Linked DNA regions of Macaca mulatta. The protein of the gene in region 6 interacts with the protein of the main gene of each other region in a pairwise test. Links are inferred from orthologs where the notes say so. Each region holds a gene or a part of one and is shown on either strand. Other genes may lie near its edges.

The links.
Region 1: the proteins of LNX1 (region 6) and RAD51D interact in binary tests that used the Homo sapiens proteins (3 or more experiments, as listed by UniProt). The two-hybrid records come from large-scale screens. The link is inferred for Macaca mulatta from reciprocal best matches to the Homo sapiens genes LNX1 and RAD51D.
Region 2: the proteins of LNX1 (region 6) and ACAT2 interact in binary tests that used the Homo sapiens proteins (3 or more experiments, as listed by UniProt). The two-hybrid records come from large-scale screens. The link is inferred for Macaca mulatta from reciprocal best matches to the Homo sapiens genes LNX1 and ACAT2.
Region 3: the proteins of LNX1 (region 6) and NUDT14 interact in binary tests that used the Homo sapiens proteins (3 or more experiments, as listed by UniProt). The two-hybrid records come from large-scale screens. The link is inferred for Macaca mulatta from reciprocal best matches to the Homo sapiens genes LNX1 and NUDT14.
Region 4: the proteins of LNX1 (region 6) and MAGEB18 interact in binary tests that used the Homo sapiens proteins (3 or more experiments, as listed by UniProt). The link is inferred for Macaca mulatta from reciprocal best matches to the Homo sapiens genes LNX1 and MAGEB18.
Region 5: the proteins of LNX1 (region 6) and uncharacterized protein LOC703872 interact in a two-hybrid assay, tested with the Homo sapiens proteins (2 studies listed by BioGRID and IntAct). The link is inferred for Macaca mulatta from reciprocal best matches to the Homo sapiens genes LNX1 and KRTAP4-12.
Region 7: the proteins of LNX1 (region 6) and RPIA interact in binary tests that used the Homo sapiens proteins (3 or more experiments, as listed by UniProt). The link is inferred for Macaca mulatta from reciprocal best matches to the Homo sapiens genes LNX1 and RPIA.

The regions. Positions count from the first base shown.
Region 1 is NC_133421.1:44,627,998-44,632,620, forward strand, and holds part of RAD51D (DNA repair protein RAD51 homolog 4), read right to left. Parts: intron 1,138-4,623; coding exon 1,056-1,137; intron 812-1,055; coding exon 677-811; intron 171-676; coding exon 75-170; intron 1-74. UniProt on the Homo sapiens protein: Involved in the homologous recombination repair (HRR) pathway of double-stranded DNA breaks arising during DNA replication or induced by DNA-damaging agents. Bind to single-stranded DNA (ssDNA) and has DNA-dependent ATPase activity.
Region 2 is NC_133409.1:12,235,940-12,239,365, forward strand, and holds part of ACAT2 (acetyl-CoA acetyltransferase, cytosolic), read right to left. Parts: intron 2,450-3,426; coding exon 2,306-2,449; exon of another isoform or gene 2,303-2,305; intron 1,469-2,302; coding exon 1,346-1,468; exon of another isoform or gene 1,345-1,345; intron 282-1,344; coding exon 127-281; exon of another isoform or gene 125-126; intron 1-124. UniProt on the Homo sapiens protein: Involved in the biosynthetic pathway of cholesterol.
Region 3 is NC_133412.1:178,605,682-178,610,848, forward strand, and holds the start of NUDT14 (uridine diphosphate glucose pyrophosphatase NUDT14), read right to left. Parts: upstream 3,476-5,167; 5' UTR 3,373-3,475; coding exon 3,292-3,372; intron 1-3,291. UniProt on the Homo sapiens protein: Hydrolyzes UDP-glucose to glucose 1-phosphate and UMP and ADP-ribose to ribose 5-phosphate and AMP. The physiological substrate is probably UDP-glucose. Poor activity on other substrates such as ADP-glucose, CDP-glucose, GDP-glucose and GDP-mannose.
Region 4 is NC_133426.1:25,969,047-25,973,083, reverse strand, and holds MAGEB18 (melanoma-associated antigen B18), read right to left. Parts: upstream 2,417-4,037; 5' UTR 2,367-2,416; coding exon 1,332-2,366; 3' UTR 1,297-1,331; downstream 1-1,296. UniProt on the Homo sapiens protein: May enhance ubiquitin ligase activity of RING-type zinc finger-containing E3 ubiquitin-protein ligases. Proposed to act through recruitment and/or stabilization of the Ubl-conjugating enzyme (E2) at the E3:substrate complex.
Region 5 is NC_133421.1:65,466,006-65,469,783, reverse strand, and holds uncharacterized protein LOC703872, read right to left. Parts: upstream 2,286-3,778; 5' UTR 2,108-2,285; coding exon 1,370-2,107; 3' UTR 1,298-1,369; downstream 1-1,297. UniProt on the Homo sapiens protein: In the hair cortex, hair keratin intermediate filaments are embedded in an interfilamentous matrix, consisting of hair keratin-associated proteins (KRTAP), which are essential for the formation of a rigid and resistant hair shaft through their extensive disulfide bond cross-linking with abundant cysteine residues of hair keratins.
Region 6 is NC_133410.1:79,936,828-79,941,450, reverse strand, and holds part of LNX1 (E3 ubiquitin-protein ligase LNX), read right to left. Parts: intron 4,140-4,623; 5' UTR 4,054-4,139; coding exon 3,674-4,053; intron 1-3,673.
Region 7 is NC_133418.1:25,383,913-25,388,535, reverse strand, and holds part of RPIA (ribose-5-phosphate isomerase), read left to right. Parts: intron 1-30; coding exon 31-95; intron 96-1,148; coding exon 1,149-1,217; intron 1,218-2,004; coding exon 2,005-2,146; exon of another isoform or gene 2,147-2,516; intron 2,517-3,425; coding exon 3,426-3,525; intron 3,526-4,623. UniProt on the Homo sapiens protein: Catalyzes the reversible conversion of ribose-5-phosphate to ribulose 5-phosphate and participates in the first step of the non-oxidative branch of the pentose phosphate pathway.

The DNA.
Region 1 (4,623 bases), on a different chromosome or scaffold from region 6:
AGTAGGACACCGGCCCACAGAGATAGCACCTGGCAAGCTGAGTTAAGCAAGGAGGGGCAGAACAGCAGGCTCACCTGCTGGGCCACAGTGCCTCGGAGCTCCTGCAGCACATCCAGCATCTGGAAGATGTCAAACGCATGCACCACCTGGATCCTCTGGAGAGCTTCTGCCTGAAGGGGTGGAAAAGAGAAGCAAGGGCTTTGGATAAGAGGGAGTAGGGGGTCGAGGTAAGGCTGAGAAGGAAGAGGCACCTGGATTCAAGGATTCAGGTCCAGGGTGGCAAATGAGCTTTGTCTAATGGGCCAGTTGTCATGGTGGTGGCTGCCTGGGTGCTGAGCTGTAAAGTACTCAAACTCAGGAGGAAAGAGGGATATGACTGATTAGTGATGCTTCTCATGGGCGAGAAATGGACTGGAAACACAAAGCTCGGTGTTTACCAGCCCTGGTTTAGGGCATGCACAGAGCTGGGAGGGTTTTCTGGAAGAATCGGTGCGAGTAGCATCCCAAATAGGATGATGGTATCAACAGGGGTGGCTTAAGGAATACGGGATGTATTAACAGAACAGCAAGTTTGAAGGCAAGGAATGACTATTCAACCCAAATTCTTACAATGTTAAGGGGTAATGGGGTTTTCTTGTGTCAGAATCTCAATGGAACCCAGCATCCTGCCCCTTACCTGTTCCTCCTCATCCTGGGTTTTAGTCTGAAGCAGCTGGAGGAGGCGGGAAGCTGTCAGCCCTCCATTAGAATCTACATACAGGATGTTTTGCTGCAGGCCATGGGCCACATTTGCTGCCACACATAGACATACCTGGGGGTGGGGGCATTGGATGAACTTGACACTTCAGAGAGGGTCCAGAATGGGAGCTCCCCACCAAACCTTGCCCAGATTCCAGCAACACAAATGCGCTGAGTCCAAGCCCCATTCCTCATCACCCATCTTCTCTCTGTTGGGCTCTGAACTCATCAGTATGCTGAAGCTCCCCCAGGGATCCTGGGCTATGCACCTACCACCCTCACCCTCAAATCCTCCTGACTGCGGGCCTCACGTGTACCTGAGTTTTGCCGCTACCTGGGCCTCCTACAATTTCAGTCACTTCTCCAGTATAAAGACCAGCATCAAGCAGTTTGTCCAGGCTGATGGCAAAAAAGAAGAAAATCAACACAAGAGGTTAGTAGGAAGAGAGGGGAAAAGGTACCAAGAAGAAAAGTAAGACATTCCTTTCTTTTTTTTTTCTTTTTTTTTTTTTTTTTTTTTGAGACGGAGTCTCGCGCTGCGTCACCCAGGCTGGAGTGCAGTGGCGCGATCTCGGCTCACTGCAAGCTCCGCCTCCCAGGTTCACGCCATTCTCCTGCCTCAGCCTCCGAGTAGCTGGGACTACAGGCGCCCGCCACCACGCCCGGCTAGTTTTTTGTATTTTTAGTAGAGACGGGGTTTCACCATGTTAGCCAGGATGGTCTTGATCTCCTGACCTCGTGATCCACCCGCCTCGGCCTCCCAAAGTGCTGGGATTACAGGCTTGAGCCACCGCGCCCGGCCAAGACATTCCTTTCAAGCACTGGTTCTGTCTTTGAACATCACTGGCCAGGAGGCTTCTCCTGATGTTTTCTTCTGGGAAAGAGGGAATGCCCCAATGTTCCTTCTCTGGTCTCTCTTCATCCCTCCATTCTTAAAGATCAGCTTTCCAGAGAGGCCTCTTCACCCCATCAGAAGGTCCTCCTTTCATTTTTTTTCATCTCAGGCCCTGTGGGTTTCCTTTTATTTATTATTATTTTTTTTGAAATGGAGTCTCTCTCTGTTGTCCAGGCTGGAGTGCTGGAGAGCAGTGGCATGATCTCTACTCACTGCAACCTCCACCTCCCAGGCTCAAGTGATTCTCCTGCCTCAGCCTCCCAAGTAGCTGGGATTACAGACGCCCGCCACTATCCCTGACTAATTTTTTTTTTTTTTTTTTTTTTTTTGAGACAGAGTCTGGCTTAGTCGCCCAGGCTGGAGTGCAGTGGCGCGATCTCGGCTCACTGCAAGCTCCGCCTCCCGGGTTCACGCCATTCTCCTGCCTCAGCCTCCCGAGTAGCTGGGACTACAGGCGCCCGCCGCCTCGCCCGGCTAATTTTTTGCATTTTTAATAGAGACGGGGTTTCACAGTGTTAGCCAGGATGGTCTCGATCTCCTGACCTTGTGATCCGCCCGCCTCGGCCTCCCAAAGTGCTGGGATTACAGGCGTGAGCCACCGCGCCCGGCCTCCTGACTAATTTTTTTAATTAGAGATGGGGTTTCACCATGTTGGCCAGGCTGGTCTCAAACTCCTGACCTCAAGTGATCCACCTGCCTCGGCCTCCCACAGTGCTACAATTACAGGCGTGAGCCACCAGGCCCAGCCGTTTGTGGGTTTCCTTGATAGCATTTCCCAAAATTTGTGTTTTTGTTTTGTTTTGTTTTTAAAAAAACTTTGATGGTGGCATGCACCTGTAGTCCTAGCTACTTGAGACGCAGAGGCAGGAGAATCGCTTGAACCCAGGAGGCGGAGGTTGCAGTGAGCCAAGATCGCGCCACTGCACTCCAGCCTGTTGACAGAGCAAGACTCCGTCTCAAAAAACAAAACAAAACCAAACAACAAAAAAAAAACAACTTTGAGATAATTATAGATTCCCAGGAAGTTGCAAAAAGTCCATGAACCTTTCACCTGGTTTCCCTTAATAATAACAATTGTACTACAAAATGTATTGTACTAGTCAGGGGCCTATAGTCCCAGTTACTTGGGAAGCTAAGGTGAGAGGATCACTTGAGTCCAGGAGTTCAAGTCTAGACCAGGCAACATAGCAAGACCCTTTTCTCCTTAAAAAAAGAAAGAAAGTACTATAGTATATCACAAGTAGCAAACTGATGTTGGTACTATCCACAGAGCTTATTCAGATTTCACCAATGTTCCTAGCATTCAAGCACGTACGATGTGTCTAGTTCTGTGCCATTTTATCACATATGTAGATTTACACAACCGCTATAATCAAGATACAGAACATTTCCATCACTATAAGTCATCCTCCTGCTACTCTTTTATAGCTACATTCCTCCCAGTCACCCCAATCCCCAACCCCTGACAACCACTAATCTCTATTATGTTATTTCAAGAACAAAGTTATGTACATAGAATTATACACTATGTAACCTTTGTGATTGGCTTTTTTTTTCCTTTTTCTTTTTTTTTTTTTTTTTTTTTGAGACGGAGTTTCGGAGTTTTACTCTGTTGCCCAGGCTGGAGTGCAGTGGTGCAATCTCAGCTCACTGCAACCTCCACCTCCCAGGTTCAAGCAATTCTCCTCTCTCAGCCTCCCGAGTACCTGGGATTACAGGTGCCCACCAAAACACCTGGCTAATTTTTGTATTTTTTAGTAGAGACGGGGTTTCGCCATGTTAGGCAGACTGGTCTTGAACCCCTGACCTCAAGTGATCTGCCCAATACAACCTCCCAAAGTGCTGGGATTACAGACATGAGCCACTGTGCCCGGCCCTGCAATTGGCTTTTGTCACTCAGCATCATTCCCTTGAGATCCATCCCAGTTGTTGCATATATGGATAGTTCATTCCTTTTTATTGCTAAAAAGTATTCCATGGTATGGATGTACCACACTTTATTTAACCATTCATCCACTGAAGGCCATTTGGTTGTTTCCACTTTGGGGCTATTGTGAATAAAACTGCTATAAAGCATTTTTTACAGGTTTTTGTATAAACCCAAGTTTTCACATCGTTGGGATAAATGCCCAAGAATACAATTGCTGGGTGGTATGGTAAAGGCATTATTAATTTTATAAGAAACTACCAAACTATTTTCCAGAGTGACTATGCCATTTTACATTTCCAGTAGCAATGTATATATGAGTAGTCCAGTGTTTCCACATCCTCATCATTTGGTATTATCACTATTTTTTTATTTTAGTCTTTCTGATAGGTATGTAATAATAGCTCATTGTGTTTTTAATTTGTATTTCCCTAATAGTTAATAGTGTTGATTTTTTTTTTTTTTTTTGAGACGGAGCGTTGCCTAGGATGGAGTGCAATGGCATGATCTCGGCTCACCGCAACCTCCACCTCCCGGGTTCAAGCAATTCTCCTGCCTCAGCCTCCCGAGTAGCTGGGATTACAGGCATACGCCACCATATCCAGCTAATTTTGTATTTTTAATAGAGACGAGGTTTCTCCATATTGGTCAGGCTGGTCTCGAACTCCCAACCTCAGGTGATCAACCCACCTTGGCCCCCCAAAGTGCTGGGATTACAGGCATAAGCCACTGCACCTGGCATTTTTTTTTTTTTTTTTTTGAGATAGGGTCTCACGTCTCACTGTGTCACCCAGGCTAGAATTCAGTGGCATGATCACAGCTCACTGCAACCTTGACCTCCCAGGCTGAGGTGATCCTCCCACATCAGCTCCCCCAAGTAGCTGGGACTACAGGCATGTGCCACCACACCCAGCCAACTTTTGTATTTTTTTGGTAGAGACAGGGTTTTTGCCACGTTGCCCAGGCCAGTTTTGAACTCCTGGGCTCAAGCAATCCAACCACCTCAGCCTCTCAAAGTGCTGGGACTACAGGTGTGAGGCAGCCCTTGCCCATTTTCTAATTG
Region 2 (3,426 bases), on a different chromosome or scaffold from region 6:
TTGTGTCAAAAATAGAAATAAATGCTCTTGGTTACTGTTCTGGTAGGGAAAGGTAACTACATGAATAAGCTCATTTAAGGCTAACAGGAAGACAAATTTCATAAAGGGGAACAGGGTTATACTCACAGCTTGCTTTATGGCTGGAATTGGTCCTATTCCCATAATGGAAGGCTCCACACCCACCTGGGACCAGGAAACTATTTGTGCTAAAGGTGTAAGCCCACGTTTATCAGCTTCTGACTTCTTCATAAGAACCACAGCTGCAGCACCATCATTTATTCCTGTAAAATATGAGTGACTTGATTTCTACAGTGCTTATTAACTTCAGTTACATATCTGTGTCTTTACCACCTGAAGACATGAGCTAAATGGTTTTACCTGTTGGCTAAGGCATTTACTGTAACTGAACAGACTTTATACACAGAAATCATGTTTGGCAATTAGAGTGACCACAAAACTTTCCAACTAGAGAAAGTGATAGGATTATAGTAGTCAGGGCTGGGCGTGGTGGCTCACGCCTGTTATCCCAGCACTTTGGGAGGTGGAGAAGAATGGATCACCCAAGGTCAGGAGTTTGAGACCAGCCTGGCCAATATGGTGAAACCTGTCTCTACTGAAAATAGAAAAATTAGCCAGCGTGGTGGCGTGCGCCTGTAGTCCCAGCCACTCAGGAGGCTGAGACAGGAGAATTGCTTGATGCTGGGAGGCTGATGTTGCAGTGAGCCAAGATTGCGCAACTGCACTCCAGCCTGGGCGACAGAGCAAGACTCCGTCTCCAAAAAAAAAAAAGAAAAAAAAATTATATATATAAAAAAAAAAAATTACAGCAGTTGGGGAGGAGAGATCTCTGACAGGAAATGGAAGAATAAGCCCGGGCCTCACAAGGAAGTATTGGGAGTTTCTGGTATTGGAAAAATACAAAGGTAGATAAACAAGTTCCCTAATTTACTTCTTCATTTGCAAGTCTAGTTGGGATGTCAAGAAACCAAATTAATTCTTTCAGTATAGGTTAAGTCAATGATCAAATACAGAGAAATGATATGTTTCCTTAAACTGTTTTAAGAATAATTTTGTATATAAATATGAGTTGGGTGTGGTGGCTCATGCCTGTAGTCCCCCAGCTACTTGGGAGGTTAAGGCAGGGGCTCACTTGAGCCCAGCCAGGAGTTTGAGACTGCAAGTGAGCAAAGATCATATTGCTGCACTCCAGCCTGGCTGGCAGAGTGAGTCCCTGTCTCAAAAAAACAGTACTTTTGTATATAAATAAAGAGAAAAATATTCACTTGGTAGACCTTATAGAACGTAGTATTCCCCCAGATGAAGTATTTCCTTCAGAAAATCTAACCTGAAGCATTGGCTGGGGTGACGGTTCCCGTTCCATCGGTAAGAAAGTAAGGCTTTAGCTTGGACATGTCTTCTATGTTGCTCCCGTGGCGAGGAAACTCATCTGTTTTAACTTCAATAACACCTAAACAAAGGAAAACCAATTACTCAAGATTAGTCCAGGGACAGAAGTGTGCTGGGAATGGTGGGTTTCTCTGACATGAAACATGAGGATTCATATTTAGCAGAAAAGTTTTAATATATAACCACTTTGATTACAACAGGAGGAAAGTACACACAAGAATTATTGTACATGAAAACAATGTATGAGTATGTCCTTATAAGACACCTGTGTTTTTCAAATCCATAGGCCTTCCTGAGGAAAGTAGCTACCAGGGACCTGTTTGTGCCAAATTCTGCTATGGTTTGGGTCATAGTACTTGACTGGTTACAAGTGAGTGGATCAGGGAGTCTCAAAGTCAATCCTGCACTGCTGGCTGGCCATAAGAGATGTCAGTTATCAATAAGGGAGCTTGATGGAAGCACTCTGTATTAGAAAATAGCAAGTGACCCCAAAAGATCCACCCTTTAGAAATGGGAAAGGGAGATCACACAGAAGCAGCGAGAAGTAATGGGTGTCCACTTCTGAGGAGGTTGAGCCTATACAGGAAACAGGTCAGCTGGTGCCTCCTAACAACCATGAGCCAGTGCTCCAGTGTCTCATGAAACCTGCTGTATGTGCACAGCAGTCATGGACACTCTGGAACCAAGGGTGCCTGAGCGCTGACACAGTTCCCATGTTACCGTGTCCTGTAAACCCAGCATACCCCCTCCCTACCTTCATGTATCCAGGACATATCTTTGCAACCTGAAAAATATAACTAAGATATAATTTCTAAAGATTCCTACGTATTACTCTTTTAGATGTTACTCTTACCTATAAATAGGTTGATGTTTAATTAAACCATTATAATATACTCACCTTTTCTAGATGACACCAAAACTGGTACAATCTCTTTGTCAAAATGGCCAGCTTTCTGTGCATTCTCTGTCCTATTCTGAGACAGAACTGCAACCTTGTCCTGATCTTCTCTACTCACTTGCCATTTTTTGGCTACATTTTCAGCTGGGAAAGGAGAAAAAGAGCAAAAAACCAACATTTTCATGAACTGGCATTTGATAGATCAAGTTGCCCATATTTGACCAAGCGCTGACTGACCACACATGCTAGCAGGCTCATGGTGGCCTGTGCAATGCTCTGTGTGGGGTGGCCCTGCCTGCCACCGACAGTGGGTCTAGAAGTGTTGCAGAGACTCTCAGGAGTCATACTTCTCTCCTTCCCTTTCTATATAATTGTAAACTTAACAGACATTTCCTTCACCTAGAGTCACCAGGTATATTTCCCCTCCATTTGCTTTAACATTTTCTTTCTGAACCATTTGAGAGAAAGTTGGAGATACAATGCCTTTTTACTCTTAAATTTTAATTTCAGTGTATACTTCCCCAAAACAAGGCCACTTTTTTACATAAGCACAGTTATAAAACTCAGGAAATTGGGCGAAGTGTGGTGGGTCACACCTGTAATCCCAGCACTTTGGGAGGCTGAGGCAGTAGGATCACTTGAGCCCAGGAGTTTGAGACCAGCCTGGGCACGGTGAGACTCTGTCTCCATTAAAAATAAACTTATCTGGGCACGGTGTGTGTGCCATGTAGCTAGCCGTCCTAGCTGCTTGGGAGGCTAAGGCAGGAGGATCACTTGGGCCTAGGAGTTCAAAGCTGCAGCAAGCCATGATCGCACCTCTGTACTCCAGCCTGGGTGACCCCGTCTCACAAAACAAAACAAAAATCAGGAAATTTAACATGAATCAAACACTATTATCTAATCTTTGGTCCACATTCAAATTTCACCTATTATCCCAGTAATGTCCTTCTAGCTCCTTTATTTGTTCAGTCCAGGAGCCAATAAAGAAGCATGCATTGTACTCAACTACCAATCTCTCTAGTTTGCTTTTATCTGTAACAGTTCTTCAGACTATGCTTCCTAAGATTGATATTTTTGAAGAACATGGACCAGTTCTTTTGTTAAGGATATCAATTTTGATT
Region 3 (5,167 bases), on a different chromosome or scaffold from region 6:
TTACAATGTGCCAGGATGGGCAGAGGTGCTTGGGGAACCAAGGAGGCCACAGACCCGCCGCACCCACTCCAAACCAGGGAGATCGGCTCATGGCCTGGGCCACAGGACCCAGGAGCTGCAGCTCCCGTGGGCAGAGGAGCAAGCAGCCTGGGAGGGGCAGGGAGGTCGAGGACAGCCTAATACCCTAGGAGTGAGGCAGAAGACCAGGGCAAAAGGCAGGGAAGGTATCCAGGCACCCCATGAAACACTGCCCAGCACAGACCGGGCACAAGGGGCTGCAGAGAGACGCACACTGTCACCAAGTATAGGAAGGCTCATGGAGGCTCAGGGAGGCTCAGGGAGGCAGGCAGGACCCCTCACAGCAGGGCAGGGAGGGACCCCAGGCAGAGGAGACCAGGTTTTCCTGCTGAAGCTTCCTTGGGCCACTGAACAGGGGGAGACGGGAGGGCAGGAGGGGCCAGCACCAGGAGTGGATGGGGCAGGGCAGGGTGGCGCCCCAGCCAGGTAGGAGATGGCACTGCAGGACTCTGTGACTGTTGTGATGGTGACCGGGCTGGGCCCCGCCTCCCACCCTCCCATCCCCAGTTTCTGGCCGTGGCTCTCCCACACACCCTGTGGTCCTGTTCTCCTGTGGCCACCCTCCACCTTCCCCCTCCACACGCTGGGCACGCCGCCCTGGCAGGCCCCTGCACCCTGGGTGGGCAGGTGTGTGGGCTGGGCCTGCTGGGGGAGGCTGGAACTGACGGATTCTGAGATGCACTCCCATCCTGGGGGCTGGGCCTGGGGTCCCACGGGGTCCCATCTCCGGCGAGCTCAGCCCATCTGCCACTCCGAGGCCCAGGTGAGCTGCTCATCCCACCCTGGGGGCTCTGCCCAGGCTGTGAAATGGACAGAGCCTGAGCGGCAGACACAGGAAGTGCAGCCAGGACTGCAGAAGAGGGAAGAAGCCTTCCTGAGGACTTCCTGGAAGAGGTGACGGAAGTGAGGGAAGGGATTCTGGGCAGGCAGAGGCACAGAGGCCCTCTGAGCTTGGCTGGCAGGCAAAGGCGTCCTGGGAGGAGAGTGCCCATTTCCAAGGGAAGGGAGGGCCAGTGTCCCGCGCAGGTCAGGATGCCCAAGAGGCCGTGGGGTACCACTCCCGGGAGGCGAGCCCAGGCCTGCCTGACATCCAGCCACCCCAGAGCCAGCCACCCAGCCAGGGCAGGCTTCAGGGAAGCCCCCTGCCCACAGCCTGCCATGTGCCTGCTATGCCCATGCCCCCTCCCCACCACTGCTTCCCCCTGAGTAACATCACCCCATGCAGGTCTCAAGGACCCTCTCAGCTCAAGGTCAAAAGTGTGTCAGACCCTTAGGTCCAGCCAGGTCAAGGTGCAGGAAGGTTCAGGGAGGCCACTGAGGCCTGGGAAAGAGGGGCAGGGCTGGGTGCAAACAAAGCCCCATCACCTCAGAGCCATGGGGGTCCCCCGCCTTTGGTCTGCCTGACATCACAGGCCTCCCCTGGCTGGATGCAGCAAAAAGCTGAGGGCTGCAGCTGTCCCTGGGTGGCGGCCAAGGTCCAACCCAATGTCCCTTGGCCCTGAGAAGACGCCGCCCGCCCTGAGCCTGCATCCGTGTCCACCACAGCCACGGCCCACACCAGCTCAGCTCTGGTTACCAGAGCCCCTCAGCAGAGCTGTGCCAGTGGGCTGCACGCTGAGGCTGCGAGGGCTGCCCTGAGCGCTTCACTGGAAGTGAGGGAGAGAGTGCTGCCACCAGGGCCACAGAGGGCACCTGCCTGGGCTGCCCTGTACCTGCTGCCTGAGGCCCAGCCCTGTGGGGACTGTGCGGCCACAAGCAGGCATCCCATGTGGCCATCAGGGAAAAGGGCAGTGACCCCATGTCCCCACCTGCTGTACCTCGACTGATCCCAGCTGCCCCCCGCCAGCACCACCAGCTTAGCTTTGCCTTGGGGAGAGCCAACAGGACTCCCGCCACAGGGAAAGTGAGGGGCACAGGGCCTCTCTCAGGCTGGGGGCTAAGAGGGCTTCACAAGGATGGTGAGGGGCAGCATCCTGGATGTGATGGGGGGGACAGGATGCCCCCTGAGGGAGGCAGGCAAGCAGAGGGGCACGGCGACCTGGACCACCTGACCTGATGAGAGGCTGGGGGCGCTGGACTGACTGTGGCCAGGAAGGCAGTCTTTGCCTAAATGGCATGCAGGAGCTCTGGCAGAGGGGAGATCTGCTGGGGGCAGGCAGGCATGCAAGCAAAAGGTGGGGCCCAAACCGGACAGGGCTGGGCTTAGAGGAAGACAGGCTGGGACTCAGTGATCCACTGGATGTGGGAAGAGGATGGCAGTAGCTCCTTCACCCAACACATATGCCTCATGCCTGTAATCCCCATGCTTTCAGAGGCCAAGAGTTCGAGGCCAGGAGTTCAAGACCAGCTTGGGCAGCAGTGAGACCTCGTCTCTACAAAAAAATTTAAAAATCAGCCGGGTGTGGTGGTGTGCACCTGTGGTCCCAGCTACCGGGGCAGGGGCTGAGGCAGGAGGATCGCTTGAGCCCAGGAGGTTGAGGCTACAGTGAGCTGTGATCATGCCACTGCACTCCAGCCTGGGAAACAGAGCAAGACCCTGTCTCAAAAACAAAACAAAACAAAATATTCCTTGTGAACCTACCATGTGCCTGGTGCCAAGTGAGGCAACACAGCCCCTCGTGTCGGGGCCTGGCATGGGAGAATGTGACACCCTAGGAGGTGGGGAAGGCTGAGCTTAGGCAGATGGAGACTCCAAGGAGGTGCCCTCCCTGGAAAAAACCCCAAGGAGGAAGCCCACTTTGAGACTCGCTCAAATTCTCACTCAGCTCCTTCTCCTACCTCCCTGCTTCCACCCTCTGCACTCCTTGCTCCTTCCTCCTCGGCCCAGCTATCTCCTCCTTCAAGTTGCAGCATGAAAGCCACCATTTCCAGGAAGCCTTCCCTGATCCCCAGGGCAACCAAGGAGTCCCACTGCCAAAAGGGTCGGATTCCGGGGACGGGAAGGATAGGGCCCAGCAATGCTTCCTTGAAAGGATGAGTGGTGTCCCCTCAGATGTCCCTCCTGCGGCCCCTCCCCGGCCTGGGGGCTCACTGGGTCGGGGAACCCGCGATCCGGCGGGCGGAGAAGGGGCCGACCCGGAGCTCGGCGGGAGTCGGGGGCGGGGCTCCGGGGCGGGGCCCGCAGCGCAGAAGGCGGTGGGCGGGACGCGGGTCGTGGGCTGGGCCGCCGGCGGGGACACGGGGGACGCGGAGGGCGCGGGGACGCGGGCTCACCTGGCGGTAATGCAGCGTGAGCGGCCGCAGGTAGGGTGAGGCGGCGCAGCGGCCCACGGACGCTCCCTCGATGCGGTCCATGGCGGCGCCAGGACAGGCGGGGGTCCCGACCGCAGTGGGGACCAACCCGGGGCAGCGCCCTGGCAGGACGGGAGCTTTCGGGCGCGCGCGTGACGGCGGCTCTGAGCATGCTCCGTGGGTGCGCGGGGCGGGGCGGGGCGGGGCGGGGCGGCCGAGGTGGGCGGGGCTCGCAGGTGCCACCTGTCGGGTGCTGCGCGCCTGGGGGCGCCGGTCTCCGCGGTGCCAGGGGAGCCGTGCAGGCACGTGGGCGTCGCGCAGAGGAAGGACTGGCTGGGTCGACCCCGGCCGCCGGGCGGGGCCAGCCGGACCGGGGTACAGTGCTTGGGTGGGACTAGGGACCTCTTGGCTGGGGGAGGGAGGGCCTGGAGGTGGTTGGAGCCAAGAGCCTGCCCGTTTGGGGTGCCTCTGGGGATGAACCACAACCCTGAGATTAAGTTACTCCAGGGGTCCGCGGGCGGGGCCGGGGGCGGAGCAGCGCCCCAGGGAGGGAGGGACTGGGCCCAGGAAGAGAGTCACGGGAGGCCAGAGAGAGGGCCCTGGAAAGAAGCCAGGGGAGAGGAGAGTGGGGCGCGGGAGGGGCCAAAGCTTGGGCCAAGGGGGCTTCCCCTCGAGGTTGCTGGTGTCCAGGGTGGCTGGGAGCTGCCACGCTGTCTCTGCAGCTGTCCCTCCTCCACTCAAAAGCCAGCTGCCCTTCCCTCCTCCTGCAAGTTCTACCTTGATGACGGTCCTTCCTGGGTGTGGAAGGGTCCCAGGCAGCTGCAGTTCTTCCTTGGGCATGGATTCCAAGGACCCCCTCCAAATGCCACCACGGCCTCCACAGGGGCTGGAAACAATATTGAGGCAAGGGAGCTAAGGCCCACACTGGCCCTGAACCCTGACCTGCACCTGCTTTCTGAACTATGGCCCAGGGGAACAGGCTCAGGGTGGACTGGCCATGTGGGCTTGAAATAGACTCCCAGATCCTTGTTCACTATTGCTGTGTAACGAAACACTCCAAAGCTTAATGCCTTAAAGTGCCCCTTTATTGCCTGGCCTATGGATCGCCCAGCTCAGCCAGGCAGCCCTGCCTTGGGGTCTCTCTGCAGTTGTAATCAGGTGGCAGCTGGGGCTGGAGTCGTCTGAAGGCCAAACGGGGTGGACCGTCCAGGATGGCCTCTTCACCCCTGGCCCTCAGTTGGGTGGCTGGAACAGCCAGGGCCAGCTGGCCTCCCTTGTGGCTGGTGTGGGCTTCCCCGAAGCCTGGTGGTCTCAGGGTAGTCGGATTCTCCGGTAGCAGCTGGCTCCTTCCAGAGCACGTTCACTAGGCCGGGCCAAGCTGCCAGGCTTTGTGTGACCTGGCCTCAGATGTCATATGGTGTCATTCCTACTGCATCCTGTGGGTCAGAAAGTCCTGGGCTACCCGCAGATTCCAGGGAAGGGGTATCACCAGGTGGGAACGCTGGGGAACACGGTCATGAAGCCAGCATCCAAGTCCAGCTGTCACCGCCCCAGTAGCTCTACAGGGGCCTGTGTCTCCCCGCTTTAGCCATTCCTCCTGGTGTCCCAGAAGCCAGAGTTTACCAACCAGAGCACCCAGCCCAGAAGCTGGCCCCACCCCACCCCACAGCCAGGCAGGCCTCTTCCTCTGGTGCACGAGGGGCCCAGGGTAAGTGCGCATCTTCGCATGTCCCATGCAGTCCCCTTCCTGCCTGTGATTGTGTGGAAAATGAGGATGAGTCTCAGCTTCCAGCAGCAGCAGCCCTGGGGCAGGCAGAGGCAACAGCAGCCCCATCAAGGAGCCCCTGGGAGAGCCAGC
Region 4 (4,037 bases), on a different chromosome or scaffold from region 6:
ATTATTTCTCAAAAATTCCCTGGGGAGGCTGTACATAAAATAACTAGATTATGCTATGTGTTCAACTGAATGTGAACAAGAGCACAGGACACTATCCACTTCTGCTCCAAGAGGTTTTCTTCTGCTTTATTGATGTCACCAAGGTAACTCTTAAGTGGAGGTTTCCACTCCAGGGTTTTGTCCTTCAACAATGAGACACACCATCTGAGTGCCTGGCCTCTGCTCTCCAGTCCCACAGCTTCATGTAGCTCACCACCCAGCTTAAATTAAAAGTATATCCCACTGAGAGACTCATAGTTTCCAAAAGTCTAAAAGGGCGTTTCTTCAGAGAATTTGCACCTTACCATTTTCAGCCAGATATACTCCAGCACTTTTCCCAAACCCCTCTCTAACTCCTTACCTCCTTACTCCCTCTTCTTACTTGTACTTTAGGTCTTAGAAGTATTTCACCATCTTCCATGCATTATTATTGTTCATTAATTGTAAAAGTCTAAGCAGGGCTGGGTGTTTTGTATCCTAGTTTTCCCATTTCTAACAAAATTACTTTCAAAGATCAGATGTTTTATTAATATTGGAGGAATGAATGAGGCAGTAAGCATAGATGCTAGTTCATAAACATTTTATTTTTTCCTACCTTCTTCAGTAAGCTAAGCCAATCCAGGTATGACTCTTTTATCTTTATATAACAGAATAAAATGGATAAAGAAAACCAAGAACTAAAAAGTATTACTTTTTCTCACCTATGTTTTGATCTCCAAAATTTTACTGCTAAATCATTTCACATTTTTTAAGGAAATACCTATTCCAATACTGTGTTTCCTTGTTTTGGCTCATTAAATATGAAAGAAGGTTTCCCAATTTGTTTTACAGAACAATAAAACTCCTACTCTTAAATAGCAATACATGTGTAACCAAAGTCATTAATAAATTTCGATTCTGAAGTAATCTAAAACTTCTATTAAAAGAAACAACATTTGAAATATAACACCAAAAAAAAAAAAAGAAAGAAAAAGATACAACTCCAAGTTACTATAGAATATTAACACAACATGATATATGCTGTGTTCCCTCCAGACCCACCCTGGCCATTCACTACTTAGAATGTTGATTGCTTTTTTCTTCCACAAAGAAAACAATCTTCTTCAGACTTCAACATTTGAAATGTAACCTAGGGAAAAAAAAAAAGAAGGAAAAGTAAAACTCTACTTATCAATATACAATAGGAACGCAAAGATGATATACGCTTATTTCTTCCAGCCCCACCATGGCCCTCCACTATTAGAATGTTGACAGACCTTTTCGACCAAAAAGTGAAGAACCAACCTCAGATTTCACTTAGCATGGGAGAAGCTGCTAGACGTGGTTCTGGAACGTGCATTTGCCATGGCAGCAGTATGAGCCCTGGCTGCAACTCTGGCTTGGGCTCTCTGTTCCTCATCCCTCAAAGCTTCTTCATAGCAGGATGGGAAGGCACTAGGGACGGTATCATGCATCTTGGCTACAAACTCCAGGACTTTCATCTTGCTAGTTTCAGCGTGAGCTCTTGGACCCCACAGGAATTCATAGCGTGGAGGATCACTGTCGGGCACTTGCTGGTACTCCAGGTACTTTAGCTGCACCAAATCTTTGGTCATGACCTTCCTGGGATCCCCATAGAGGAAGTGCTTCCTATCAGCATATACACCCATCACATTCATAATTTCCCAAACTGCCTCTTCTGGGGCACGGTTGCCATTCATGAAGATCACACCCAGTGCAATCATCAGGAGGCCAGTCTTGGGAATTTTTTCTTCATCACTGGTTGTTTCATCATAGGTGAGGTCTAGTTTGCTGAAAAAGGCATAGTAGTGCCTGATGGGATCCACTTCCTTCAAATCAACACCAAATGCCAGCTCTATGTGCTCAGAGGCTCTCTTGAGGATCTCATTGAAGTGACCCTTATCCTTTCTGATAACAAACTTTATCATATCTCCCTTTGTAATTGGCTCTTTCTTTTCATACTTCTGAAGCAAGAAATGCACCAGCGACACTACTTTCTTGCTTAAGGGATCTTCTTGCCAGCCCTCAGCTTCCCTTGAGGAACCTAGACTTTTCTCGTCTTGGTTGCTGGCACCTTCATTTGAACTGGTGCATGAAACAGGTGCAATAGTATTGGTGGTGGATGGGGCTCCCTGAAGCGCCTCAGGGATGCTAAGTGTCTCAGCAGCAGGCAAATTCTGGGGTCTATCACCAAAGAGAAGATTGGCAGAGGAGGACGACTCTCCTTCTGCCACAGGGGCCTGAGTAGCACCCAGATCCTGATTCTCACAACGAGCCTGGTGGCGTTTCTCACGGGCACGGAGCTTACTTTTCTGACCTCGAGGCATAATTACTCTTGTCAGGGACTACAGACAATAGTGCAGGCAGTTGGGTTGATGAAGAGGTCACCCTAGAAGACGGAGGATAAGATAGTGTTCACAGCCTTGGTAGGGAGATTCTACCTTGGTCTAAGAATGGCCACCTCTGCTGGTTCTCTTGAGGGTATTGCTTTAGGAACCCATAAGGCAGGAGCAGGCTGGGACTGTTCTGTGGGGGTTTATCACATCAGTTCTAACTCAGGATATTAATTTTACTTTAGTCCTTTGAGTCCTCCCTCTGTTGACTTGAGGCTGCCTCGCTTTAGACCATGGCTTCCCATCCCACAGATTCCCAACAGGAAGTAAGGGTATTAGGCCTAACAGCTGCGCTTTGGGACACACACAGTTGACGGTGGGAGCAGGACAGAGCAGAGAAGGATGGGTCTCTATGAGGCCGCCTCTGTTCTGGGAAAAGTGTGTCTCGAAGGTCATAACAAACGATACTCACTTTGACACCTGCCGGATCCTGAAATTTATTTCTCTGGCCACATCTTTCAGACCAAGGCTTCGCCCGTAACAGCTTGATGACGTGGAATATAGGTCAAGAGAAACACTTCCGGCCACGCCCACCTTGCTCTCCCAGCATAACAGCAAATGGTTCTGTGTTCTGGGGGAGGGGCAGTTCTTAAAGAAATACATATATTTCTTTCACTGACTTTGCAGGCACTGGGACTTCTCTCTTTGCTAAGCTGAATCAGTCAGCCTCAGAAAAAGGATCATTTCCCTGAGTTCAGAGTAGGAAGTAAAGTGGAGCGTGAGCCTAGCAGCCATGCCTGGGGCCTCCCAAGATTGACAGTAGGGGCGGGGTCTGTGGGAGTCCCTCTTCTTGGGTAGGTAACGCCCTCAGTCCTCACTCAGTGTCTTATCGTGACTTTTTATAGGTACAGGGCCACTTCTCTGCTGACTTGAGGCCATCAAATAAGGTACTAAATCTGTAAATAAAGATAATTGACATCTGTACAATATTATGTTCACCACGTATAAATATATTGTATTGCTCTACTTAGGCATCCATCTGAGTCTATCAGTAAACTTTTATATTTGCTTTGATAGAGTGTATGTTTTTGTTAATGTTCTTTTTAGGTACATTTTGAATGTTGCTGCTCTTTTGAATGGTATATTTTTCATTACACTTTTTTTTTTATTTTTAAAGCCCTCTCAAATTTGTTGAAATAGATTGTTTTCAGGACGGTACATTAGGAGAAAAATGAGGATGACAAAAGCATCAAAGGATCTTTCATTCAGGCACTAAAAGGAATCCAGAAAAGAACTTCTTAGAGAAAATCTGGAGTAGCTAGGATCTTTCCTTATTTGAAACCATGACTTTCAATTTAACGCTTTGTATATTACTTTTGTTTTGTTTCTACTACACTGGCTGAGTCAGGTTTGGATTTCTGAAAAGCTTTACTTCCGCCCCTCCCGTAAGATCCTAATCCAGTTCACAGTGAATTTCAGTGACTTAAAGCCTTGAGGTAGCACAAATGTTTTTTATAAGATTCCTTGAGGCTTCTTTTTTTTAACCTTTATTTTAAGTACAGAAGTATATGTGCAGGTTTGTTATATAGGTAAACTCGTGTCATGGGGGTTTGTTGTACAGATTATTTTATCACCCAGGTATTAAGCCTGGTACCTATTAGTTAT
Region 5 (3,778 bases), on a different chromosome or scaffold from region 6:
ATGTGAAGCTATCAATGATATCTGAACAAATCATCTTAAATTTGATTGGCTCAATAGCTTATAGGGTCACTTCAGAGCTGATAATAGTCAAATAAAAGTAAAAACATCAAGAGCAGGTTCTCCTACTACAATGCCAAGTTATAATCACTTACGATATTACTTCAGATTCAAATGAAGGCACCACTCTTGGGAATTCTAATTAGGATATGCACCCCAGCTGCGACCTGCTCAAAGCTATGAACTAATTCCAATAAAATGATTCTTAAAAACAAAAGTGAGTCTTGAAATTTTCAGCCTTGCTGGGTTTATATATGTTAAAATGTTAAGTGTGGAGATGTTTAAATTATAACATAAACCTGTAGAGACCACAGTCAGAATAGATATCGTTTCATGCTATCCAGATGAAATACAGCTCAATATGCTTTTTTTTCTCAGCAGAACTCACTGGGAAATAAAGTCCACTTTTTAATAATAAATTCCAAAATGTTGTTTATTGAGTGAAATGAATTGAGTACATTAAATTCTTTATAGAAGATTTCCCTTCTTTCATTGGTGTCTACTTTTCAGAAATTTGGTTTTATCTTTTTTTGTCAAAATAGGGACAATAGTATGACAATTAGATATAACGTGTTAAAGATAAAATGTGTTTCAAGAGCTAAGGCATGAATTAAATCTGTCTTAATTTAGGATATTAAAACACCTGTGCACACCCACAAACACACACATACACATATACACACAGCACTTTTATTCCAATACCTTAAATTATGTATATTTTATATAGCATGTATCTTCAAAGTGATTTCAACATGGGTTGCTCTTCCTGTATCTTTGTGTAAAATATAATTGCTAGGGAATCAGTAAAATAATTATGAAAGCAATAGAGAATGATACCAATGAATTCTTACGTGCAGAAAAGTTTATTAGAAAGCAGAGATGCTACAAAGCATAAGAAATTCACACTAGGAGAAACACAGAATATAACTGGGCCCCTGGGTCTGAGGGTGCAACATCAGTGACAAAACTGAGCCTGCAGATAACGTCTACCTCACTGAGAAGGAGAATCTCTACCTCAAAGTGATAAAGAAAATAAGGAAATTAGAGGATTGGAATAATTTCTTAGTTAGTGGATTACAAATTAATTTCTATTTGGTGCTACCACTGGAAGAAAAAGAAAGCAAGGGAGGGAGCTTAAAATGAACCAGAATATTCTCAGAGTCAGTGAAATGGTGATGGGCTCATTGGAAACATGAGGTCCATCCTATTGAATGACATCAACCCCACTCCATGTGTCCTAATAGCCAGCATAGTAGAAGGGTCTGCATCTGTGGGCCAGCAGTGAAGGGGGAGGTGAAGCAGGGCAGGGGGCTCAGCAGCAAGAGGAGGCGCAGCACAAGGGGCGGGGGCAGGTGGAGATGACACAGGTTGGGCGATAGCAAGTGGTGTGGCAGGAGACTCGGCCACAGACTGGACGCAGGCAGCAGCAGGGGCGGCAGCAGCTGGATTCACAGCAAGAGGGGCGGCAGCAGCTGGAGATGCAGCAGCTGGGGCGGCAGCAGGTGGGCTGGCAGCACACAGACTGGCAGCACTGGGGCCTGCAGCAGCTGGACACACAGCAGCTGGGGCGGCAGCAGGTGGTCCTGCAGCAGGTGGTCTGACAGCAGCTGGGGCGGCAGCAGGTGGGCTGACAGCACACAGACTGGCAGCACTGGGGCCTGCAGCAGCTGGACACACAGCAGCTGGGGCGGCAGCAGGTGGTCCTGCAGCAGGTGGTCTGACAGCAGCTGGGGTGGCAGCAGCTGGGCTGACAGCACACAGACTGGCAGCACTGGGGCCTGCAGCAGCTGGACACACAGCAGCTGGGGCGGCAGCAGGTGGTCCTGCAGCAGGTGGTCTGACAGCAGCTGGGGCGGCAGCAGCTGGGCTGACAGCACACAGACTGGCAGCACTGGGGCCTGCAGCAGCTGGACACACAGCAGCTGGGGCGACAGCACGTGGTCCTGCAGCAGGTGGTCTGACAGCAGTTTGGGCTGCAGCAGGTCTCCTGGCAGAGGTCTTGGCAGCAGCCCTGGTCAGAGCACACGGAGCCACAACAGGAGTTGACCATGGTGTCAGAACGGGGAGGATCTGGGTGGGTTTCCAAGAGATTGAAGTTCTTGTGTTTGGAAGTCTTCTGGGTCCATAGCCTCCTTTATACCCTGCTGAAGGCCCATTGCCACCACGTCATTATTTCCTTGTTATTATTTACCTCGTGGAAAACTTAATCATGTAATTACATCATTGTGTGTTTCTAGTTAAATACTCCAAAACTAACCCATTTAAATATTCAAAAAATAACCCATTTCCTTTTCCTGCTGTGCTCCTGTGTTTCTATTGGAAACACTTGTCATATTTCTTCCCTAGTGGGGGTCACCTTTGTCCCTGGTCTATGCAGTGTCTTTTACAAACCGCTGGACACATGACTCTGACACTTTATTTCTAAATGTGATTCTCCCTCCTACCTGTAGATAGCTCTCTACAAATCATGGGGGACACTTTTTATAATGTGAATGTATCTTTTGTTGTCAAAGAATGTCCTGGTCAGATGAGATGTCGGAAAGGAGTTAGAAGGAAGGACTCATTCGGGAGAAGGATGTCCCACCTGTAATGAAGATGACTCTGATTCCGTGTATGCTTCTTGAACGGTTGAGGAGATGGTCAGATCCCAAGGAAGTTATAAACTCTGTGTCAGATCTTATTCCACCACTTCAAGTGAAAGTACTTAGCCATGACTCATTGCCTTTAAGGAGTAAAAACACATTTTTGTATATGTCTTACAGTATAGGCATTAGGAGTAGGAAGTTTTATCTTTGATCATCAAAATTGCATGATGAATTTCTATTTGACAAAAGCATTTGTTATATGTAGACAATGTTTATAATTATTAAGCCTTCAATAATGTGCATCCAAGACATTCTGTTGGGTACTCTGGGTATAGAACGGATAAACCCTCATCTTTTTCCTGCAGGTACTTGTATAAGACACATGTATAAGAAACAGAATTTGGCAAAAATGAAAGGAATCACAATTATGTTCATTAAACAACTACAATAAAAATGTATAGTATGTGGATAAGTTCCATACACCCTCAAGGTATGTATATTACTTGTGAAGTTTTGACTACGTACCAGACATTGTGCTAAACATCTTATATTTATTTCATTTTCACTCTTTAATACAACCTTATAAAGTAGTGTACATTCTTATTACTCTTTTAGCAGAGTACGCAAAAGAAGCATTAAAAAGCTAAAACAAACAAACAAACAAACAAAAAACGTGTCGAAGATTAAAGAGAAAGTAAGCCTAATATGTCTTAGGGTAGCCAAGAAAGAGGTAAAGAATAAAATTTGCCAAACTTGCTGAAACTGTTTCATCTTCTTGGAATGTTTCATTTTTTTTTGTTCATTCTGCAAACTCCTACTCATGTGTCAAAACCAGTTAAAATATTTCCTCCTCAATAATTTTTTCCTGATAAGCTACACCATACATTTATCATTATTTCCTCCCTTGTGCTCATAATTTGATACATTCTACTGTATCATAGTCATTTACTTCTGTCATTCCCCATATGCAATGCAAATACCCTGAAGGCATGGCCTATGACATTTCTTTTTGTTACCATGATACTCAGCACAGAGAACACTGGTGGTAAATGTTTATTGAGTGAATGAAGGCTTTTTGATGTCATAGAGGCATGTAAGGTCCTTTAGAAATGGATATATCTTTTGACTTCTGGATA
Region 6 (4,623 bases):
ACTCTGTCACCCAGGCTGGAGTATAGTGGCATGACCTCAGCTCACTGCAACCTCCACCTCCCAGGTTCCAGCGATTCTCCTGCCTCAGCCTCCTGAGTAGTTGGGATTATAGGCGCCCGTCACCACGCCTGGTTAATTTTTGAATTTTTGGTAGAGACGGGGTTCACCATTTTGGTCAGGCTGGTCTTGAACTCCTGACCTCGTGATCCGCCCGCCTTGGCCTCCCAAAATGCTGGGATTACAGGCATGGGCCACCGCGCCCAGGCAGGTTAGCTTCAAATTCTTAATCCTTGCCAATAAAACGTCCAGGGGGTGGGAGGCGAAGGACTGTATATATTAGGCATATGGTGACTAATACATACAACATATTTTTGGAAATGTTTTCAACCTACTTAGGAAGCAGAAGTGTGGAGTCTTGAGAGCATGTGTTGAGGCCCACGCCTCCCTGATGTGGGGGCGTCCTCTCCAGAGAGCTGCTGTGGGCGCCTGTGAAGGACTCACTCAGAGGGTGCAACTTAAAAAGGTGACTCACTTTCAGTTTTGGGTTCTCTCCTCACTGCCGTTTTCCAAACATGCATCTCATTATCAGCTGAGTGTTCTTCAAGACTCTATCTCGGCCTTCCTTGAGGTGTGTGTGGGTCACACAGGCTGCATGGGCTAAGGGTGAATGAAATTCCCAGTCTGCTTCAGGCAGCTGAGGGGTACCTGTATCATCTTTCTCCTGAAGACCTCACAGATTTCCGACAGTCTCCTCCTAGCCCTTCCCCTTCCCCACCTCCCTTCTGGCCTAACCCTCGGATCCATCTTCTCCCTATTTTTAGAAGCACTCTCAGCCCCAAAACAGTCCTGGATGAGGGAATGAGGAGGAGTGGCTGGGTTTTGACTTTCTCCCCAGAGGATGCCTCCAATACTGTCTTCTCTCTCCCCACTCTTACTCCTGGGGTGGGCAGAATAATTATTCCCCAAAGATGTCCATCTCCTAATCTTCAGAACCTCTGAGTATATCACTTCATATGGCAAAAGGGACTTTGCAGATGTAATTAAGAATCTTTTTTTTTTCTTTTTTTTTTGAGATGGAGTCTTGCTCTGTTGCCCAGGCTGGAGTGCAGTGGTGCAATCTTGGCTTACGGCAGCCTCTGCCTCCCGGGTTCAAGTGATTCTCATGCCTCAGCCTCCCAAGTAGCTGGGATTGTAGGCTTAGGCCACCATGCCTAGCTAATTTTTATATTTTTAGTAGAGACAGGGTTTCACTATGTTAGCCAAATTGGTCTCAAACTCCTGATCTCAAGTGATCTGCCCGCCTCCACCTCCCAAAGTGCTGGGATTACAGGTGTGAGCCTCCATGCCCCACATAAATGAAGAATCTTGAGATGAAGGAGCCATCTTGGATTATCCAGGTTGGCCCAAGGTAATCACATGAGTTCTTATAGGAGGGAGGCAGGAGGCTCAGAGTCACAGAAGGAGATGTGAGGATGGAAGCAGAAGCCAGAGAGAGCCTGGAAGATGCTATGCGGCTGGCTCTGAAGATGGAAGAAGGGGCCATGAGCCAAGGAAGATAGGCAGCACTAGAAGCTGGAAGAGGCAAGGAAAGGGATTCTGCCCTGAAGCCAACAGGAATGCCACCCTGCTGACACCTCAATGTTAGTCCACCGAGACATATGTTAGACTTCTGACCCTCAAAACTGTATGATAACAAATTTGTTTTTTCTTTTTTTGAGACAGTCTCTCTTTGTCACTTAGGCTGGAGTGCAGTGGCACATCACAGCTCACTTCAACCTCAACTCCCAGGCTCAAGCAATCCTCCCACCTTAGCCTCCTGAATCACTAAAACTGCAGGCACACACCACCAGGTCTAATTTTTAAATTTTTTATAGAGATGGGGTCTTGCTATGTTTTCCAGGCTGGTCTCAAGATCCTGGACTCAAGTGATCCTCCTGCCTCAGCCTCTCAAAGTGCTAGGATTACAGGTGTGAGCCAGTGCACCCAGTAATTTGGTTTGTTTTAAGTCACTAAGTTTGTGATTTGTTACAGCAGCAACAAGAAATGAACACAGCTCCCCAGCACAAATGTACAGCTGCAACATACCAGGAACACGGGACCATGGTGAGGGTGGAGGGAGCTCTACTGGGCTCTTTCTCCTCCTTGTTCCCCTCATCCCCCTGCCCAGTGTGGCCCCACTCTTGAACATGGCTCTGTGCCAACTCCTGTTGGCATCTACCTCGCCTTTGACTCCAGACCTACTTCTTTCCCACCAACGTCTCTCATACCTAGGCAAAACTTTCAGCAAAGGTCACAAATAGACTACCCTACCTATTCCTCCTTTAACCACATCTACTTCTGAGGAATGAGGGAGGCAGGGCATCCTAGTTTAAACACCAGCAATAACAGCTGCAACCCAAAAACCTGAGGTAGAAGCATCTGGCTCAATATCTTGGGGAGAAAAATGAATTCACTGACATAATGAGTATGGCAAACACATGCTAAGCATTACACCCAGGCCATTGCTTTTGATGCAAACTTCCATGTTAGAGAATACATGCAAGTCCCAAAAGACAAAGACTCAGATTCATGACCTAAGGTATGTAACCTTTAAAAAAAAAAATACCTGCACCTGCCTCCTGCCCTTGTCAAGACAGGAACCAGGATAAACACCAGCTTCCAAATTTCCTGTTACAAAATAATTGTGGTATGATCGTTCACCCTTTATTAAGCACTTTAAATGTTCTCATACCCAGGGACATGACAATGTAAGTGGACAAAATAAGAGGCAGCCAGATGGAACAGGTGATGTTAGCCATCAGCAGCGGCAATCACACCAGAATTCTGCCACCAGTGTGGGTGCGGTGTGTGGGTGGGTGTGTGCGTGCATGCACAACTTAGCAACTTGGCCACAAAGTTAGCAGAACAAATTGCTTGGAGGACAAAAATTTCCTAAATTTCTCCTTTTAAAACTTAATTGAGAACACCTCACACCTTCTCAAAGGACAGTTGTGCCTTGTCAATTCCAATATAGAGGAAATTCTAATAATCAAGGGTCAAACTGGGGCACCTTTTTTTCCGTAAGTGAAAAAGCAAGCAGCGCCTATCAGGAAATACTTCTGGGACCCATGAGCCTCAGAGAAAGCTGCTCATATGCCCTCTCTGGCATATTTCACATTTCACAACATACACACATGAGATGAGCTGGTCGCAAGAAGACAAATACCATATGATGTCATTGACATGAAGCACTTAGAGCATATTCATGGAGACAAAAAGTGGAATGGTGGCTGCCAGGGACTGGGGGAAGGTGGAATGGGGAGTTTGTGTTTAATGAATATGGAGTTTCCATTATGGAAGATGAAAAATTTCTAGAGATGGATGGTGGTGATAGTTGCACAATACATGAAAGTACTTAATACCACTGAACTGTATACTCATAGTGGTTAAAAATGGTAAACTTTATGTTACATTTTATTACAATTAAAAAAAAAATCCCATAAACACACACACACAACACAACTCCACCAAATGCTATTTCCTCACACTGAACCATGACCATAAACACCTATGTGTTTTTGTATTTTGAATGGATCATTTTGTTGGTTGCAACCCCTCAGGAGACTGGGGGGTGGAGGGGTCCAGCTGTCCCCCTTGGGGGCGGGGCTTCCCAGCTCACTGGTGAGGGACCTACCTGGTTTGAAAGTGATGCTCGAGGTCGCAGCGCTGCAATACCTGGGCGCAGTGCTCCCTAAATGGGCAGGTCACCAGCAGCTTGTTGAGGAGTTTGTTGACCAGGATGCTGGACTTCTTGCAGTGCTGCAGAACCAGAGACTTGCGGTCCATGGGGCAGAAGTCCTTCTCCACCAGGAAGTTGGTGAGGCAGAGGGTGCAGTAGGTGTGTCCACATGGAGTGTCCAGGGGGTCCAGCAAAGCCTGCAGGCAGATGTGGCAGATGAGGTCATCATCCACATCCTCCGGGTAGCTGTAGAAGTGGTTTTCCTCCAGGGAGTGGGCTTGGCCGCACACGGCACACAGGGCTTCAGGGTCATTGGCAGACTCTGGCTGGTTCATGGTCGATTGGAGAGCAGTATAACAGGAAACTCAGTCACACAGTATTTCCTCAGGAGCAAGTCGAGATCTAGGAGCCATCCACACACCTAAAAGAGAACAAGAAGGCTCACTTTTGCCTCCCAGCACATGAAAGACTTATGCTTATGGTAGACATGAGACAGTGCTGCCAGTGCATGGCGAATTGAGCTACGATTCAGAAAGCCATGGTTTAATGTCCACTCTGGAGTAACTGACAGGACCTTGGGCAAGCCCCACGGCCTCCTCGTGCCTCTGTTTTTCCACACATGCCAGTAGGAATAATGTTCACCTTTAACATCCTCACATTGGTGTGGTAAGAATCATTTGGAAAGTATCTGGGAAATGCCTAAAGTAACCCCAAAAAATGTAATTTGTTAAGAAAATTAAATAGATCAGTGATGTATAAAATTCTTGTCAGATCAAGACAAGAAAAAAACAAAACAAAACAGTTAATACTGTGATGGCTCTTATCTTTCTTCCCCATCTTTCTCCCAAACTCAGAAAATGTAGGAGATCAGAGCTTTCAACTAAGTCATCTGAGAGGAAATAGTG
Region 7 (4,623 bases), on a different chromosome or scaffold from region 6:
TTTTGTATCTTTCCTTTCCCTCCGATGCAGATCGACCTTGCCATCGATGGTGCTGATGAAGTAGATGCTGATCTCAATCTCATCAAGGGCGGCGGGTGAGTGTGGTGGGGGCTTCTGTGCTAAAGAGTATCTGCCAGTTAATCCTTAGCAAAGCAAGATGGATACAGAATAAACAAATTGCCACTGTGACGTATGCAAGTTTGGCTTTCTCCTGGGATATTAATAGCATATGGCCTTGGACCCAACTCAGCATTTCTGGTCATTAGCAGCAATTTAGTGACGAGGAACCTGCGCCTCTTTAGTGAGATCATTCGTCATAATGGATTCCCTGTGGATCTGTGTTCTTTTGTTGATTCAGACTTTAAAAACGTAAGGCCATATCAAAATAATATTGGCTAGATTATTAGGTCTGTGGGCACCAGTGTGTGACTTTTGCTTTGAAGCTGTGCTTACCTCTGTGAGCAGTTAGGGATATTATTTGTTCCTTTGGAAGACATTAATTGGGTATTTCTTAAGTGCTGATTTGGGGAGTGGTAGAAATGGTGAGTTGAAAAAGGTGAAATCCTGTTCTGCTGGCTCTTATAATCAAGCAGACTATGGAGTGATGTGGCATTTGTTTAAAATCACACTTTACTGTTTATTAGATTTCCTTATGTGTTATTTAATCATGTCAACTGCAGATGTGAGATAATTTAGCTGCTGAACCGTAGAGGTAGACCTGGACCCAAATCTGCTGATTCAGTGCTCTGGGCTGTCTCCACTTCATCACCCTCATTGGCAAATAGTCGATTGGGCAGGTTGTTCAAAGCATGCCCTCAGCTTCTAGACCCTCCCATTCATGCCATGTCCAGATGACGTCTCCCTGTACACAATGCTTCCTCTCAGATGCATTTGGATGGAATTATGCCTGGCCTGAATGGGAACCTTGTCTGCTTTCTAGGTTTCTTTCAGACACAGGGTAATGTTTCTAGAGTCCATTTACTAGGAGCAGCATGATGGGACTGGGGATGTCCCTTTGAAAATTAAAAGTTAAGTTTCTTTTTAAGTGCCAGGATTGAGTGGATTTGGGATTCCTGTATGTGACCTTAGTTCCCAAACTGAGATTTTTGTCTTACTCCTGTGTTCCTTTGCTTCCTTCCTATCTGCAGAGGCTGCCTGACCCAGGAGAAGATTGTGGCTGGCTATGCTAGTCGCTTCATCGTGATCGCTGATTTCAGGTAGTTTCTGGTGTCTGAACTGCCAACTAAGGAGGTAGATTGGAGCCCTAGGCCTCATCCTCATTTTTGTGAAGGGGGAAATGGAGAGCTGCAGGGACTCTCTGACTTTCTGAGACTGATTGCTAGGACTTAGTACAGTGTCTGGGAGACTTTATGTTCTGCTTCTAGGCTGAAGGTAGATGTTGCTAATCACACCACTGTTATCTGCAGCCAGGATCTCTAGCATTATTTCACGTGTTCAGTGGAACGGGGAAACAGCTTTTCACCCTGTTAGCAGATCGTGCTCTCATGTGTCATGTCACTCACTGGATCCTCACAGGGAGCCTCAGGGTGTGCCCTGCCCACGGGCAGTGACTCAGCATGCCCTGCTTCTTCTCAGGTCAGGGTTTGCCGCAGGTGACTGGTGTCATTGATAGTCTTTGGCCAGGCTCTCAGATGAGCATCTGAGAGGAATCTGGTCAAAAGCACTGTGCTGAGCATGTTAATTTCAAATATGTGCATGTGTGTATTTGCTTGTGAAATGTAGCCACAGGATGAGCATAAATATTAAACACCTACATACCTACAAGCCAGCAATATCAGATTTTAACATTTTTGTCATATGTATTTCAAATAGCTCTTTTCCTATATAGTGAAACAGCTAATTCATTTGAAGCCCTGTGTATACTGCCTCTGATCACTTTCCTTGCCTTCCTACCACCTAATTAACCCTATTCCTGAATTTGGTGTTTGCCTGTACTATTGAACTTATTTACTTTTATTTCACTTTTTGACTCCTCCTTTCCAGGAAAGATTCGAAGAATCTCGGGGATCAGTGGCACAAGGGAATCCCCATCGAAGTCATCCCAATGGCCTATGTCCCAGTGAGCCGAGCTGTGAGCCAGAAGTTTGGGGGCGTGGTTGAACTTCGAATGGCTGTCAACAAGGCTGTGAGTGGCCTGATTGGGCCGGGAGTGTCCTGGGTGCACTCAGGTTTTCAGTGTGGTGTGCTCCCTTCTGTTCCAGTTAGGTTCTCTGTGCCTCCACCAGGCAATTGGCTTTTATTTATTTTTAATTGATGTGTTTGTTTATTTTCAGAGAGTTGGCCCTGTTAGTTTCTGCATTCAAACTCTTGTAGACAAGACCACACTTAATACAGTGCATCTCCTTTGTACAGATGGGGGAATGATTCTTTCTCTGTGCCTCAGGTTCTGACATCCCACAGGTGATCTGACCTTTGTGCCTGAGGCCTGGAACACCCTGATTGGCAGCTGTGAAACACTGGCTTTGGGAACCCGTTTGAAGCAGAAAGTTTTTTAGGTTCCACGGTGTAACTTCTTTTCTCCCTCTTCTTTCCTCTCATTCTGTGGTTAAATGTGACAAGAAGTAGAATTTCCTGGGTTGTGTGAACTCTTCCCCAGGAACACACTCCAGATGGTCCAGATTTTTCATGTTTCTCTTTAGCTTCTAAAGTGGATTGCACAGAACTTTTCCCTCTTTTTGTACTTAAATAAGCAAGCAAAGAGCAATCCAGAAGCTAACCCCAGTTACATGTGTAACTACATAAACACTTTGGAGGATAGCGAAAAGATCTGTCACCCTACCCTGATACATTTTTATTTTAATATACTTTGTCCCCGGTGTTTCTGTGACTTTTAAAAAAACCGTAGTTCTATTCCTAGTGGTTGTACGGTGCTCTGACTGACGTTCATATTGTTGGCGCGTGAAAGAAATGCAGCACAAAATGGAGAAGTCGTTCGACCTTGACCCTGTCAGAGTTCTTATTTGAAAGCCACGTTGCTGCTAGTGTTCTTATTGTCTTTTGGATTCTGTTTCTTGCCCTTTTTCTTATTGGCCCAGTAGTAACTTAAGGAAGCAGATAAGAACAATAAATTTTGGACTAAAGGAAGTAAGAACAATGAACCAGAAATCAGATAGGAATGTGGTGATAATTGTGACATGTTCACATAGTCATAGTGGGAGCTCATGTGAGTAAAAATAGCTTGATACATTTGTTAAGAGGCTTGTATTCTCTCTCTACAAAGACTACAATCTAAGTCTGATTTCAAAGCCCCTGCTTATTACCACTTCACAGCACACCTTCTAAGAAAGCATAAAGTGGGAGCTGGTTAAAATGCATACATGTCTTTTGTTGTGCCCTCTACTTTCCTGTCCTTCTCTGCCTACCTGTATCTGCATCCTTGGTCATTGTGGAAAATTATCTTCTAGGGTCCTGTGGTGACAGATAATGGGAATTTTATCTTGGACTGGAAGTTTGACCGGGTACACAAATGGAGTGAAGTGAACACAGCTATCAAAATGATCCCAGGTAACATGAGTGGCATTCAACAGGCATGTACACCCCCATGCCCTTCATAACTGGCCCCTACATCTGGCTAGGGAAAGCACAATGGACATGGGCTTTGTAAGGCTTGGTTGGAAAGAAGAATTCCCTTTATACTATGTTTGGGTTTTTAACTTCACCTCCTTTGCCGTATTCCCTTCCCCTAACAATTGTTGCTTACCTAGCACCTTTGTTGCTTGTGCATTTCACAGCCTGTTTGAGTTGGGATAATCCTGAAGCTGACGGAAGTTCAGAGGGGACTTGCCTTGAAATAAGGTTATCATCTCTGGGTAGAACCTTTCCTTCCAGGAGCTGGACTGCAGCCTCTTTTTGTGGACTCTCTTAAGCATGGGGGAAAATAACTCAGTTAATCCATATTCATTGGATGCATGCCGAAGGCAAGATGTTGTGCTGTGTGTTACAGGGGATACTTCAATTTGGAGGACTTGTAATCTGTCCTTAAGGAGAATTGATGTAAACCTGTGGAAATCTGTGTGTATGTGTAGAAGCCATGCCTACAAATAAGATAGAATGTGCTAAATTCTACTAGAGGAATACCAAGAGTCTAGAGTGCACAAAAAGGTTCTTTTTGGCAGAATGCGAGGATGTTTTATGGTGTAGAGGTGGTTTTTCACCCGTGCCTTGGCATAGCATAAGTTAGACATGGTGCTAAGTGTCTAAAAATGTTTCCTTTGATTCCTGCTTTGATGAGGTAGTTATAGAGGAGGACACTGGCTGAGGAAGGTTAAGCTGTTTGCCCAAAGACAGCACCAGGATGGGCACCCTAAGTTGTCTGCCACTAGACCCCAAATGTTTAATGCTTACTTGCTGAAGCACCAGGTGAGGAGAGTCTGTGTGAAATGAACATTTAGAGCCTTAGGGAGCCTCTAATGCAGCTGTGCCAGGGAATGATGGAATAAGAGCCAGGATGGGGCCCTGTGTGAAGGATAGGTGGGCAGTGTAGAGATGAGTTATGAGGCTGGAGCCCTAGTCCAGGCTAGAGGAGGTATCAAGGACTCGTACAAGGGGATTAAAAGGAAGAGGCAGTCTTGAGAGGTATCAGCTTCTTAGGATGTTGCGAGA